Coturnix japonica: one gene and its partners. The protein of the gene in region 3 purifies or fractionates together with the protein of the main gene of each other region. This does not show direct contact. Links are inferred from orthologs where the notes say so. Each region holds a gene or a part of one and is shown on either strand. Other genes may lie near its edges.

Region 1 (4,527 bases), on a different chromosome or scaffold from region 3:
GCCATGTCTTGTACTGAAGGCCAAAATGAAACAGAGGGGAAAAAAACTGAGTTATACATCCAGTGGGTGACTTGTGAGCAATAGTATATTGCTCTGCCATAATAGAGATGGCAGAGCACAATAAAAGGGAAAGAGAGACTGAAGCAATGCCACCATCTCCCATATGACTACAGTAAGAACTGACAGAGACTGAGACGTACTGATCTATTATTAAAATGGCTCTCACTCGACTGTCAGCAATAAAGAGACAACCCATGGGTAATTTAAACAATAAAGGACATCAGGAGATAAGCCCATATCTTATTTATGGATAGCTCTGCTAAAAAGGCTGATGAACAATTCATGCCCACAGCACTGCACTTCAAGCAAGCTCCAGCAGCCACGGGGTATCTGCTATGACAGGCACTGCTGACAAACCTTTGTAACCTGGTCGTCCAATTTTCACAAACTTCTTCACTTCCACTTTGACTTTTTCTGGTGCAGGTTGGGCAGGAGCTTCCTTTGCTTCCTTGGCAGCTCGACGAGCCCTGGGTTCATTGGAAACGCGCAGTGTTAAATGGTTATCAGCACTTGGTTCTGAAGGATACTCTAAAAGGCAGAGTGAGTTCTGTATGACGGAGCATTCAGCACTTCACAGAAAGCATAATGGGAAACTGCTGCTCCTCCTCCACAAGCACCATGGGAGGCCAGTTCCACTCCTTGCCTTGACTACAATCTGTCACCTCCATCACCTCACCCACTCCTAAGAGGACTTTGATGTCCAGCTCCACAGATGGAGCTGAGATGACTTCTTAAAAGTCAAAAAGGAAATGAATTACACAAGCCAGGTATCTAAAGCAGAGCAAACCTGAATTCTTAGATTAAAGCTTACAAACTTTTCTCAAGCTGTATTCATAAAACAGCTTCCCTTACAGTTATACTTAATCTAAATGCCATAGCTGGCTTTGAAGTGGAGCTTGTCAGCACCACTGTTCAGAGCAGAGCTGGTGAATGCCTAGGAAACAAACAGAGACAAAGAGCATTCAAGCCCAGAGTGCTACTACATGATGGAGGCCAAGATTTATAGGTGCTCATTATCTAATTTTAATGTGCCCAAGTAATGGAGAATAACACGGTGGAGAATGACTTACAGATTGGTCTGATGCTTCTTCCCCTGCGTATGTGCCAGGTAACTTCCCTGGGGGGAAAAGAAAGTTATGAAGACTGAACTGTTCCTGAACAGAAAGATATTTGTCACAGATGAGAGGTGACATTTCACACTGACAAAGATATTTTAATCCTCAGAGCACAGCAGAATCAAACTCACAAATTTCAGATTGCTCACAACTGCTGAACTGTCAGAAACTTGTCATGCTTAACACACACAGCCTCTGCTCCCCCCATTGGCCCTCCAGCAATCAGCCAACGGGAACAGCTTCGGTTCCAGCACTTGGAGCTAGAATTAGTCTAAAATATCTGCTGCCATGGAGATCAAGACAGACAGCTGCTCAACTCACCTCATTGTTATGGAGCGTCAGGCAAAGCTTGCATTCATAAGAACCCAAGTGATTTTTCATAAAATAGGGGTCCTAGGAAGAGAAGGATTGAAAAGTTACATGTAAAATCTGCATTGGAACAACTGAACAACCGAGATTCTAAAGCAGAGCTGCACTGTAAGAACTCTATGAGCTCATGGAGTGAAGGGATCAGCACAACACTGCTTTAGGAATATAGAGAAAAAGGAACAAGAGCAGTTGTGTTCACTGGTAACAGCACACCCAACTGCAGCATAATAAGAACCAGTGCCAAGACTGAACATAACAGAAGCCCAGTGCTGGTATCCCTCTGCTTGGCCCTTCCACATGTTGCTCGAGTCCCTCATCAGTGGGAACAGAAGTATTTATTCCACTCCACAGATCCCCACTAAACCTCTCACTCTCTGCTGAGATGAAGCCCTGACCTCACCCCATGTAGCCTGCAGGACTGGGGCTCACCTTGTTGATGTCAATGGTCTCCAAAGCCAGTTGCCGAAGCCTCTCCCTGCGGTCTCGGTTGCTTTCTGAGGCTGAAGCTACGCCTCCACTCCCCGTTTTACCTCCAGGACGGTGCTGAAAATCCATGGTGGGGATTTCTGGGCTTTGGAGACTTCAGGAGAAAAATAAAATAAAAGTCTGGAAAAATGAAGAAAAGACACATAAGTGACAACACAGCCCTAAGCTGGGCCTCGCATTGAGCCCTGCCACGAGGACACGGCCCAGGCACTGCCATTACCTCAGCAAGAGACAAAACCACCCCCAGCCCACCTCTACCCTCTCACACAGGGTCACACACCCCCCAGCCACTAACATGGGGGTCACAACCCCCCAGACACCCCCTCACCCCCCTCTAAACACCCCCATTCCCTCAGCGAGCACCAAAGCTCACCTCAAAGCCCCCTACAAACACCCCCCGAACTCTCCATGCCACTTATAGCCCCCCAGTTTCCTTTTGGAGGGTCCTGTCCCTCCACTAAGAACCCCTCTAAGCCCCCTCACCCCCCTCATTCTCCAGTGCAGGTCACAGGCTCCATAGGTTCCATAGGCCCCACAGGCTCCATAGGTTCCATAGGCCCCACAGGCTCCATAGGTTCCATAGGCCCCACAGGCTCCATAGGCCCCACAGGCTCCATAGGCCCCACAGGCTCCAAATAGGCCCATATGCCACAGCCTCTATAGGCCCCATAGGCTGCACATGCCCCATAGGCCCCACAGCCTCCACAGCCCCCACAGGTTCCATAGGCCTCACAGGCCCCACAGGTTCCATAAGCTCCATAGGCCCCACAGGCTCTATAGGCCCCACAGGCCCTTATTCCCTTAGCGACGGTCACTGCCCCGAAACAATCCCCCACAGGGCCCAAGACCCCCCTCCAGACCACCCCATCCCCTCAATGAGGGTCTCACTCCCCCATATCCCCCCTTTAAGCCCCACATCCCCTCCCCCTAAATCCCCCATACCGCCGTGCTCAGCCCCGCTCCCGGCGCATGCGCTCTGCCCTCCCCCTTCCATCCCCTCTAGTTCCGGATAGAGCACTACCGGGTCGGGTATGGGTGGTTGTAGGGTTGGGGTGGTTGTAGGGTTAGGGGTGGTTTGTAGGGTTGGGGTGGTCGTTTGGGGTCCGACATGAGGTACAACGAACGGGAGCTTGCTGTCCTGTCCAGGCAACCGGCAGAGAAAGCGGCAGAGATCCATGATGAGGGTCCCCAAGAAGGGGCAGCGGTAGAGGGGGGGGTGGGAAGGGGGTGAGGGTGGAAGATGGGGGGGTTAATTGGGGGTGGGAATGGGGAGTGATGGATTGAGGTGTGGGATGGGGGTAATGGGGTGGGGGTGGGATGGGGTGGGGTAATGGGATGGAAACTGGGGGTATTGGGATGGGGCTGTTGGAATTGGGGGTGCTGGGGCAAGAGCTGGGGTGTTGGGATGGGGGTTGTTGGATAGAGCTGGAGGTGTTGGGATGGTGGTAAGGGATGGAATTGGGGTAATTGGGATGGGGGTATTGGGAATGGAACTGGGGTATTGGATGGGGTATTGGCATAGAGCCTGGGGGTGTTGGGATGGGGGTATTGGGATGGAACTGGGGGTATTAGGATGGGGCTGTTGGAATGGGGGTGCTGGGGCAGAGCTGGGGTTTTGTTTGGGATGGGGTATTGGGATGGGGGTATTGGATATGAGCTGGGGGTGGGATGGGGATGGGGGTGTTGGGGTGATAGGATGATGGGATGGGGGTAATGGGATGGAACTGGGGTTATTGGGATGGGGGTAATGGGATGGGGGTATTGGGATAATGCTGGGGGTGTTGGGGTGGGGACAGGAGTATTGGGATGGGGGTAATGGGATGGAACTGGGGGTATTGGGATGGGGGTGTTGGGATAGAGCTGGGGGTGTTGGGATGGTGGTAATGGGATGGAATTGGGGGTATTGGGATGGGAGTACTGGGTCAGAGCTGGGGGTGCTGGGATTGGGGTATTAGGATGGAGCTGGAGGTGCTGGGATGGGAGTATTGGGATGGAAGCACAGGGATCAGAACGGTGTACTGGGATAGGAGCGCTGGGATGACAATGGAAGTCCTGGGGTGGAAGCACTGGGATGGAAATGGAGATGCTGGGAGTGCTGGGATGGTTTGGGGGCCCCACACACGCTGGGCTCGCTGTCACATCACTCCTTTCCTTCTTCAGTGTTAAAGAAGCGCCTCGTGAAGCTCGTGGTGAACTTTCTCTTCTACTTCAGGACGGATGAAGCTGAGGTTCGGATCCTGCTGCTCCTCACACACACACAGATACACACACGCACCTTTTTGCTTCACGTTTATCACGTGTGCTCTGTGGATCAGTGCAACACGGCGTCCTCCCTTCCCCCTGCACAGTTCAGGCTCCTCGGTGGGGGTGAGGAGAAGCAGTGCCAGCAAACCACACCCTGCTGCTTTCTACAAACACAACCATCGCCCTACAGCAGCAAAAGCTGGACTCTGTCTCGTGTAGTTACAGACCTCACATAAAACCGAGGCTGCTAAAG
Region 2 (4,733 bases), on a different chromosome or scaffold from region 3:
ATATGAGAAAAGCTATTATTTGCTTCCTATAGCAACCAGCCAGAATGATTGGTAACAGTCCCTTAAACTGAAAAAAAAGCCTACTTTGAATCTAATAATATAATACTCCCAAAGGTCTAAACTTCATGCATTTGCTGTGCTGACACATATCCACTTAAGTACACACCCACTTGACCTGACGTGACTGCACATACCATAAAAGGAGAAACAACCCATTATCCTAATAAAATATTTGCTTATGTTTTATCAGTAGTTGTTTCTCTTCAAAGTGCAAAGTAGCAATTATTTAACAGTCAACGATGAATACACTGAGATAACTGCAATGATGCCATGTTGTAAGTTTTACTTTAAAAAACAGTCCTTTTCTAAGACATCTGCACCGAGAGCAACAAAGTAATAACATAAAATGTGAGTAAGAACCATAGAATCACTGAATATCTTGAGTAGAAAGAGATCCATAAAGATCATCAAACCCAACTCCTGGCTCCACGTGGTACCACCCAAAAAGCCGGCCCTATGTGTGAAAGCATTGTCCAAACACTTCTTGAACTCTGGCAAGCTTGGTATTACGCCCACTGCCTTCTTCACAAAGTGCTTTCAAAGCACCTCACTCAACGATCCTTCACGTGTCCCTTCCAAGCTGAGCTATTCTGTGACTCTCTGATAAGGTTATTGCTGCAGCTCCCTGGGTAGAGGGAACACCCTCCCCAAGGTCACAGCTGGCAAATGGAGCAGTCCGAGCTCTCAGCTTCACCATGTGGCACGTACTGAGGGCAGCACAGCAAGCAGCACTACATGAGAAAATGGCATTCTACTGCCTTCTAGGCTTTAAAAAACAATCAAGTGTTTATTAGTGAGTAGATAGTAAACGGGATAATGCCCTTAGTACTGTAGTGCCCGTGATGGGCACAAGCAGACGTGGGTTTTAGAGGTCACAATGGAGAAGACTGGGAGAGTCATTATGAAGGTAGATTCAAGCCATTTGGAAAATAAAATAATAATAATAAAAAGATAATTGATGTGGCCGCCTGGCCTTGCACGGCCCCTTTAACAAACAGATCTAGGAACTCCCATCCACATGAAAGGCCGCAGTCCTGGAGCCGGGCAGCCAAGGGCACAGGCTGCTAACGGCACGAGATGAGGAGGAGCCCGCGGAAGGAGGAAGCACGGCCCCAGGCGCGATATCTCGGCCTACCCGGGCGCGGTCACCTTGCGCTCACCTTGAGGCTCAGCGGTGCCCGGAGGCGGCGGGACCCGCCCGACACCGAGGCCCATCAGGCGGCCGAGCCGCCTCCGCCGGTGCGGCCCCGCCATCGCCATGGAAACGGGCGTCGGGCCGCGCCGGGGACGCGCTGACCTACACGCGCAGACAGCGGAGACCCGGCCCCACGCCTCCGCCCGCCGCCCCGCGCTCCCTCTGCCCTCCGTCCAGGATTGCAGCGGCCCTCACCCCACCGCCCAGCCCGGCCTCGCCCGGCCCCGCCCGTCCCGCGGCGCTCACCCGCAGCCGAGCCGCCAGGACGCAGTACGGCGCCATTTTGTGCACTGACAAAGATGAAGTCGCGCCCCGATGGCGTCAGTCCGCCCTTTTGATACCTCTGGCGCGGGAGGAGGCTGAAGGGGGCGGGGTCCAGCGGGTCCTGGCAGGGAGGTACCGGAGGAGAGAGCGGCGTTCCCATGGCGGGGGTACGGGCGTTCCCCGCGTTGAAGGGAGCAGCGAGGCGGATTGGGTTTGAAGCACCATGCGGAGCTCGGTTACGGGTCGGTGTCCCCTCCCGGAGCGCCGCTTTGTCGGACGCTCTCCACACCCCTGACAGGACCGGGACACGGCGGCAGAGCACCGAGAAGTGTCGCCGGCGCCATGGCCAAGCACCATCCGGATCTCATCTTCTGCCGCAAGCAGGCGGGCGTCGGTGAGTACCGGCGCGGTCGTGGCCCTCCGCACCTTGACGGTGGGCTCGGGCGGCAGTTCGAGCCCGTTAGGTGCCCGTTAGGTGCCCGTCAGGCCCCTCGCGCAGCTCCTCGTTCTTCCCTCGGCCCTCTGAGCTCGGGGTTCGTGGCGCTCCCCGAGGCCGCAGGGATGTGGTTGGGGATCGCGATGCGGCGCTGAGTGCGGGTTTCCTTATGGCCGGTGGGAGCCGTTGGCCGGACACCGTGCGGAGGGACTGTGGGCCGGGTGGGTGTGCCCTGAGGACAGGCGTCGCTTGTATTTGCGTTCTAAATGTAGCCTCAAGTAATATGTGTTTTTTCGCATTCTTTTTCCCCTTACAGCAATTGGAAGGCTTTGTGAGAAATGTAAGTACATCTTCTGCGTGTAGTTGTTTGAGAACCCAACTCTGTGGTAAGTGCCTGCAGCTCGGTTTCTCTTTTTGCTCTGCTGCTGACTTGGGGTCACAACCAAATAGAAATAGCAGGTAACTGCAGCTTGGGCTGGGAGGAGTGACCTGTGTGTTGGCCTGAGTGTATGGAGCAAGTGCGAGAAAAAGACCGCACAGCTTCCCTTCAGCATCTGTTAGAATGGGAAATGGATGGAAAAAAGTGCTACAGCAGATGAATATGCAAAAACAAATATCTATGCAACCTACTGCAAGGAACCTGCTTTGGCCAAAGTGTTGGACTTGATTCCTGGAGATCCCTTCCAACCCCTATAATTCTGTGCTCGTGCTCACCTATAGCAGAAAAGAATAAGCACAATTGGTCATTAGATCCTTGCAGGAGCTCAGTACAAGTAAGCCAGCTATTTCTAGGCTCCAAAAAATGTTAAAAACAAGCGAAGTGAGGAGAAGCACAGTCTGAAGCAACTGAACTGTTTTCAGAAGTACACAGAAGTTAAATGGATTCCCAGTGGTAGTAGCTGAGGGCAGTTGGGACTGAGATTGAAGAGCAGGTTAAATGAGCTGTTTGTGAGAGTCAGGATTAAATACCTTGGGAACTGGTAATAAGATCTGAAGCCTTTCATCTGGAGGTCAGAGTTTTGGATCGGGGCCCGCAGAGCAGAGACTGTCCATGGCATCTGATGGCTGTTTGCCTGTATGATAAGAGCACTTGTATTTCTCTCAGTCCCTTGTGAGAAAGCAAGAGCAACTCTGTGAAGTGGCAATTTATGCCGGTTTGCCCTTTTTTTGGCCTTGGATATGGCTGGCTGTTGGCCCTCGTTCCTCTGAAGTCTGTGTAAATATAAAGTTGCACCTTGTGCCTGTAAGCTAAAGTTCTGCAGTCTAACTGCGTTGTCTTTGAGCATACAGGCAAGTTCTTTGTCCAGCAGACTTTTCCTCTTTTATGTGGGGTGGAGAAAAGGACGTTCTGTAACCAAAGACTGCTGTACTTGCAGGTGATGGCAAATGTGTGATCTGTGACTCGTACGTGCGGCCCTGCACCCTGGTGCGCATATGTGATGAGTGTAACTACGGCTCGTACCAAGGGCGCTGCGTCATCTGCGGGGGCCCAGGGGTGTCTGATGCCTACTACTGCAAGGAGTGCACCATCCAGGAAAAAGATGTACGTTGTCATCCAGTCTCCTGTAGAATTGCTTATGTCTTTGTTTAATAGCTATGCTTATCTTTAAAGGGACTTAGAGCAAGTGATATTAATGTTAGGACATTGGATGCTTGGGTTCCTCTCCCAGAACTGGCACTGGTTTTCATTTCCTTGCATGTTTCTTTTTCTGTCGGTGGTTCCCAGTGTTTGTGGAGCACTTTGAGGTAGCGAGCAGTGCCTCGATTCTGTATCCCATAGGATCCTTGTGTGCTTTACGATGCATACTCACAGTTCACTTCCTCCACGCTCTGCTTGTTACCACTTTCAGCTGTTATCTTACTAAATCTCTCAGCCAAAGTTTTATCAGCAGCAGAGACACTTTAGACGTTGCAAAGGCAGTGGCAGGATCAGCTTCTTACTGTGTCCGTGATCATACCATACATGGTATGATCATGCCACTGGCATATATGGTACCATAAGGCCTACAGAATCACCACCCATGTTTACTTTTGTGTTACAGTAAAATTAGCCCTTAGTGTCCTTCGTCCTTTGACAAGGCAGATGCTCGCTCTCTAGGTATTCAATAATATCCATCATAGTGAGGGCAAGTCATGAAGAACTGCCAATGAAGTAGTAGAAAGACTGTAGGGAAATGCAAGAACGTGATGCTTGCGGTTGCAGTGTGTCAGAGTATGGACCCAATGGAGAGTATCGGCTGTGTGGTTTTGGGGCTGGATCCTTTGCAAACACCATCTCCAGCACACCCTGATGTCAGCAGAGTGTGCTGACAAACAGCTCTGATTTAGAGGAATGTACTTAGCTGACTGAGCTGCTGCTTTAATTTTCTGCAGCACCCATATTTTCTCTAGAGGTCTTGCAGGGCAAGCCCGTGTCTGAATTTAGTCAGTAGATCTGGCGGGAGCACCATCTTTCTTAGTATCTAAGTATTATATGTGGATAGAAATGCTGTTGGTGGTACTGCCTTCTACATCTAGAAGTGCTGTGACAAGCAGTAGTTTTGTTGTCTTGTCTGTGGGACCAAAGAACTTGTTTGGCAGTTTATCAGTTAAATAGACCAATTCATATTGATTCCTAATAGGTATTTTTCGTGCTCTAGTCTCATCTGTAGGTTCAGATGTAGAGCAGCTCGCTGCTCTGGAAGGGAGGGTTATAGAGAATATAGAGCTGGAGGAGCAGATAGCAAGTCAGAATTGAGGTATTTTGATAGCTGGATGAAATCTTCTATAGAAGACCAT
Region 3 (4,735 bases):
ATCTGGTTCTGAGCTTTAAAAAGGGAAAAACTGAGCCCTCCCGTGAGGGGCTTATAGAACACCCCGAGTTGGAAGGGATCCACAATGATCACAGAGTCTGAAAGAGGATGTTTCCTCAGAGCTGTGCTGCTGTGGGCTCGTGCATCTCACAGCTTTTCACAAGTATCAGAGGATCAGTGGGACTGAGCCAGATGATTTATCACACACTGATTCCTTCTGCTGCTCTGGGATCCCCCTGTTGTTCTCGGGCCAAACCAGAGGTCAGAAATGGGGCGAAATGCTTCTGGCTTCTGCCACTTTGCTCATCAAATAACAAACTTCCATTGCTGTTGTCATGTCCCAGTCCCAGCCGGGAGCACCGTGTCAGCTCTGGCACTCAGCTCTGCCGTGGTATATTTAGATGCACTGAAATGCTGAATTTACCCTTATCCTTGGCACAAACTATGAAAGCACAGCCTGGCTGAGGTAGTGCAATTGAAGATGACCAATCCCCAGCAGTCTGTGCTTTCTGCTGCCTTCCAGCCCACAGGGAAAGAGAAACAAATCCTCCGTGTCGAGTTCATACAACGACATCAGCTCCCAGTGTTTCCCAGGGCTCCGACTCCCTCAGAAATCATTCCTGGAAAGCAATAACATTCAGATTATTTATCTAAGCTATTGCTTGGAGCTATTAAAGCCTCTCAGCCGCTGGTATGCACAGAGGATCAAAGTGTGCCTCTACCAGATAAACGAATACAATTTATTAAAGCACATTTCTTCATTGTCTCTTGGCACCAACAACTCAACTCTAACAGCTGGATCTTAGTGCAGCCTGAAGCCCCGCTCGCAGTTTGGCTGTGAGGCTGCATCCACAGCAATCTTAAAAACCACCACTTGGACTTTCCAGTACAAAGGAGCTTTCCAGAGCTCGTGTACAGCATCTGAAACCAAGAACTGCTCTGTTACAACCCCATTACAACCCCTAGAGCTGAGCAATACAGTGTGTTGTGCTATAGGAGGAAGGTCCGCATTCAGGTGGCTCTGAGACGCCTCCAGCTGTGTTGGGCTGTGCACAGGGAAGCAGTTCCCTCTGCTGACCGAAGTGCTGCAGCGCTTCAACTGCGACCACACCAGAATTGGGCACAAGGACAACTTTTATTTATTTATTTTTTATTTATTTAAATTGGCTCTTATTTACAATGATGCACTGGCACGGGTTGCCAAGACAAGCGATGGATGCTCCCCTCTACAACACCCAGCGCTGTCCCTTCTAACCCAACCACGCTGTGATTCCATGATTCTGATTTCTATGCGCTTTCCTTCCAGCTCGACAGCTCAGAAAAGCCACCTCTATACAGCCCCTCCCGGCCGCCATTTTGTGGAGGAGGGGCTGCAAGAGGACGGCCCTCTTCCTCTCGGCTATGCTCGGCTGTGTTCGGCTGTGTTCGGCTGTGCTCGGCTGTGTTCGGCTGTGTTCGGCTGTGTTCGGCTATGTTCGGCTGTGTTCGGTTGTACTCGGCTGTATTCGGCTGTGTTCGGCTGTTCTCGGCTGTACTCGGCTGTTCTCGGCTGTACTCGGCTGTGTTCGGCCTCGCTCGGCCGTGCGGCGCGTTGTGGGCTCGGTGCGGCCTGTGTGTCCGGGCGGGATGGTGAAGCTGACGGCGGAGCTGATCGAGCAGGCGGCTCAATACACCAACGCCGTGCGAGACCGAGAGCTCGACCTGCGGGGTGAGATGGATCTGCCGGGAGGGAGCCGGGCCTGGCTTTGTGGGGGGGGATCGGGAGCGGGCCTGTGTGGGGCCTGCGCTGAGGGGAGGCGTGGGGCCTGCACTGGGAACGGGCCGTGCAATGGGGGGGGTCGTTCTGTGTGTTAAATGCCTCTTTCATGTGTCCCCAGAGCTCCATCCCATCCTGCTTTATTCCCTTCTCACGTTTCTTTTCCCCCCCACAGGGTATAAAATCCCCGTCATTGAGAATTTAGGGGCTACGTTGGATCAGTTCGATGCGATTGATTTCTCGGATAATGAGATTCGGAAATTGGATGGGTTCCCTCTGTTGAGAAGGTTGAAAACTCTTCTGATGAATAACAACAGGATTTGGTACGTGGTTGTGTTGTGATCAGTGTTGTGATCAGACGGGACCTGGGGCAGAGCAGAGTGAAGAAGGGAAAAGAAGCGTGCCCGTGTCTTTTAATACCTGATAGGTGTAAAAATATCTGCTTTATGGGGAAGAAATAGCGCTTGGTATTTGCTTCAGCCTTCAATTAGCCGGCTTTGTTCATTGCAAAGTTCTGCCCCAGCTCTGTGTTCCATTTTCATACAGGACAATGAGATGCAGGGCCTGGAGTTTGTGTTGGGTCCTTGGGGGTTGTTCACTACCCCCATAGTGATGCACAGACAGGGGTGCCTGCAGCTGAGTGAACAGAGCTACCTTGCTGCACCTGGTGCCCTTACAGTGGCAGCTGCTGTTTTATGTTGGCTTTGTTACAAAGCTGATGCTCACCCAAACTTCTGCTGCTGTCATACTTGGCTGTGTTTAAGTGAGGTGCTCTATGTTGGCATGGCTGCCCAGGGAGGTGGTTGGAGTTGCTGTCTCTGTAGGTGTTCCAGAGCCATGGAGAGGGGACAGAGGTGGCCCAAAATGCTTTCAGCTGTGTTGGCCACAGACAGGTTTATTGGGCATGGTGGGGATGGGCTGAATGATCTCTGAGATCTCTCCAGCCTTAATGATTCCGTGATTTTTAATATATCTGTGTCTGTGTCCACCATTGTTAATTTCCAGCCAAAGGTAAAATCTTTGTGTTTTTATTCTTCTGTAGTCGGATTGGGGAAGGACTTGAACAAGCTCTGCCCAGTCTCACAGAGCTGGTTCTTACCAACAACAACATTTCTGAACTGGTAAGTTAGTGATGCAGAATAAATCTTGACAGCTCTAATGTTTTTGTCCTCTTTCTAATTAGTCGTCTTCTTCAGGAGCTTCATTCTGAAATATTTGATTGTCGTGAAATGGATTTAAGATTCTTACTCTGTTCTTCCATTATATAGGGTGAACTGGATCCATTATCAAGTATTAAAACATTGACTTACCTGAGGTGGGTAATCTTGAAAAGAAAAGCAGCGGCTTGTTGTGATATATTTCAATATATTCAATACATGAAGTAACTCTTTGTGACCTTTATTTGCCTCGTAGCATTTTAAGGAACCCAGTAACAAATAAGAAGCATTACAGATTATATGTTATCTACAAAGTTCCCCAAGTCAGAGTGCTGGATTTTCAGAAAGTGAAACTCAAAGTAAGTCTGTTACCTTCGGATTGAACACCAGATGGAGACCTTTTCTCCTATTAACTCATAGAACTGTAGTGAAATCAGTAAAGCTTTTTGCCCCAGCTGTAAATGGCAGTGGAACAGTTTGTCCTATGAGGCTTTAAAGCTGGTGCTTCTCTTTGATGGTTTCACGCCGTTAAGGATGTAATCTGCTTTATTGTTTTTAATTGATGTTTCACTGCTGTTGTTTGTTTAGTCTGATTCTTTTCTGGCTGGCCGGTGTTGGTGGTGATAAGGGGAACGTAGAGAAAGGAATGAGGGATCAGAGCAGAGCCCTCTGCTTGGGGCTGTTGCTTCTAAGAGCACTGAAGTGCTACACCTCGAGTTGGAGTGTTTGTGCAATGTGTTTGTGCTTGTCCTGGGCTCCTCATGCTGATGTTCACTGAAGATGAGCCAAAGCATCTTTCTTTGCAAAGAGCAGCTCTGCGAAATGCTACATCCTTCCATTAACTTTGTATGTGTGGTATCGCTGTAGGAGCGACAGGAGGCAGAGAAAATGTTCAAGGGCAAACGGGGTGCACAGCTTGCAAAGGATATTGCCAGGAGATCAAAAACGTAAGATAAAACAAACGCTTGCACTGGCGTTCTCCTTCAGAAACACCACGTTGTGTGCGGCACCGAACTGAGACGGCCCTGGTTGTTTGGATGGTGGTGAACACATCTGAGATCTTTATGGTAGACCCGTTTGGTCAGGGTGGATCGGGATATAGCAGTAAACAGGGAACTCTGTGTTATTTTACTGCAGAGAGGGGGCTGTGGTTTGCTTGGTTTTGCTCTCTATAGTGACTGGGAACTGAAAAATCTATTGATCACATTGAGGGTGCTCAGTGAGTGCTTAGAACTGTTATCAAATGTGCTCTCGCTGTGGTTAATGAGTGGAAATGGCCCATGTCTGTGATGGCTTTTGAACAAGTGAATCAATGAATCAAACACCCAGTTCACATCCCAAATACACGCAGGACAGGGCGCAGGTCTGTGAAGCTGGGTCACATTTAGGCAGCTCTTTCAAGCTGTGACTTCCATTTCCATAGACAACAAACGTCTGCTGTCCTTTAAGCAGCAGCAGGTAACTCACAAGGAACTTCCACCATTCATTTTACATAGGCTGTCCCAGTATCCTGTGAGATACTGAAATCCAATTCCATTCACTCTGCTTTGTGTGATGGTTCAACAACATCCAAATCCAACAGCTTTCATCAGCCGCTTAATTCTAAGGTGCCAGTCTGCCTCATTATGAGCAGATGAAAAGATCTGGGGGGGGGGAAGGGGATGGGACAGTGAGGACAAATCCAAGCGGTTGGTGTTTCTGAAGGAGGCCATTCATCACTGTATCAGTTTGTTAACAAAGAGAAGATACTACACTTGATTGATTGAAACGCTTCCAAACCTGCTTTGGAAGTGAGAGAAGCACACGTTGCTCCCAGATATTAA

The links. The genes of interacting proteins can lie anywhere in the genome.
Region 1: the proteins of SNRPA1 (region 3) and SF3A2 purify together in Homo sapiens (affinity purification with mass spectrometry; 8 studies listed by BioGRID and IntAct, counting the BioPlex papers as one, with this or other methods). This does not show direct contact. The link is inferred for Coturnix japonica from reciprocal best matches to the Homo sapiens genes SNRPA1 and SF3A2.
Region 2: the proteins of SNRPA1 (region 3) and PHF5A purify together in Homo sapiens (affinity purification with mass spectrometry; 4 studies listed by BioGRID and IntAct, with this or other methods). This does not show direct contact. The link is inferred for Coturnix japonica from reciprocal best matches to the Homo sapiens genes SNRPA1 and PHF5A.

The regions. Positions count from the first base shown.
Region 1 is NC_029543.1:1,224,386-1,228,912, forward strand, and holds the start of SF3A2 (splicing factor 3A subunit 2), read right to left. Parts: upstream 3,030-4,527; 5' UTR 2,973-3,029; intron 2,151-2,972; 5' UTR 2,100-2,150; coding exon 1,974-2,099; intron 1,569-1,973; coding exon 1,497-1,568; intron 1,178-1,496; coding exon 1,131-1,177; intron 528-1,130; coding exon 418-527; intron 1-417. UniProt on the Homo sapiens protein: Component of the 17S U2 SnRNP complex of the spliceosome, a large ribonucleoprotein complex that removes introns from transcribed pre-mRNAs.
Region 2 is NC_029516.1:45,262,827-45,267,559, forward strand, and holds the start of PHF5A (PHD finger-like domain-containing protein 5A), read left to right. Parts: upstream 1-1,704; 5' UTR 1,705-1,861; coding exon 1,862-1,913; intron 1,914-2,029; exon of another isoform or gene 2,030-2,124; coding exon of another isoform or gene 2,125-2,176; intron 2,177-2,271; coding exon 2,272-2,295; intron 2,296-3,331; coding exon 3,332-3,498; intron 3,499-4,733. Other genes in the region: ACO2 (aconitate hydratase, mitochondrial), read right to left, coding at 1,502-1,537.
Region 3 is NC_029525.1:15,973,302-15,978,036, reverse strand, and holds the start of SNRPA1 (U2 small nuclear ribonucleoprotein A'), read left to right. Parts: upstream 1-1,526; 5' UTR 1,527-1,625; coding exon 1,626-1,707; intron 1,708-1,930; coding exon 1,931-2,078; intron 2,079-2,797; coding exon 2,798-2,876; intron 2,877-3,023; coding exon 3,024-3,070; intron 3,071-3,168; coding exon 3,169-3,271; intron 3,272-3,779; coding exon 3,780-3,859; intron 3,860-4,735. UniProt on the Homo sapiens protein: Involved in pre-mRNA splicing as component of the spliceosome. Associated with sn-RNP U2, where it contributes to the binding of stem loop IV of U2 snRNA.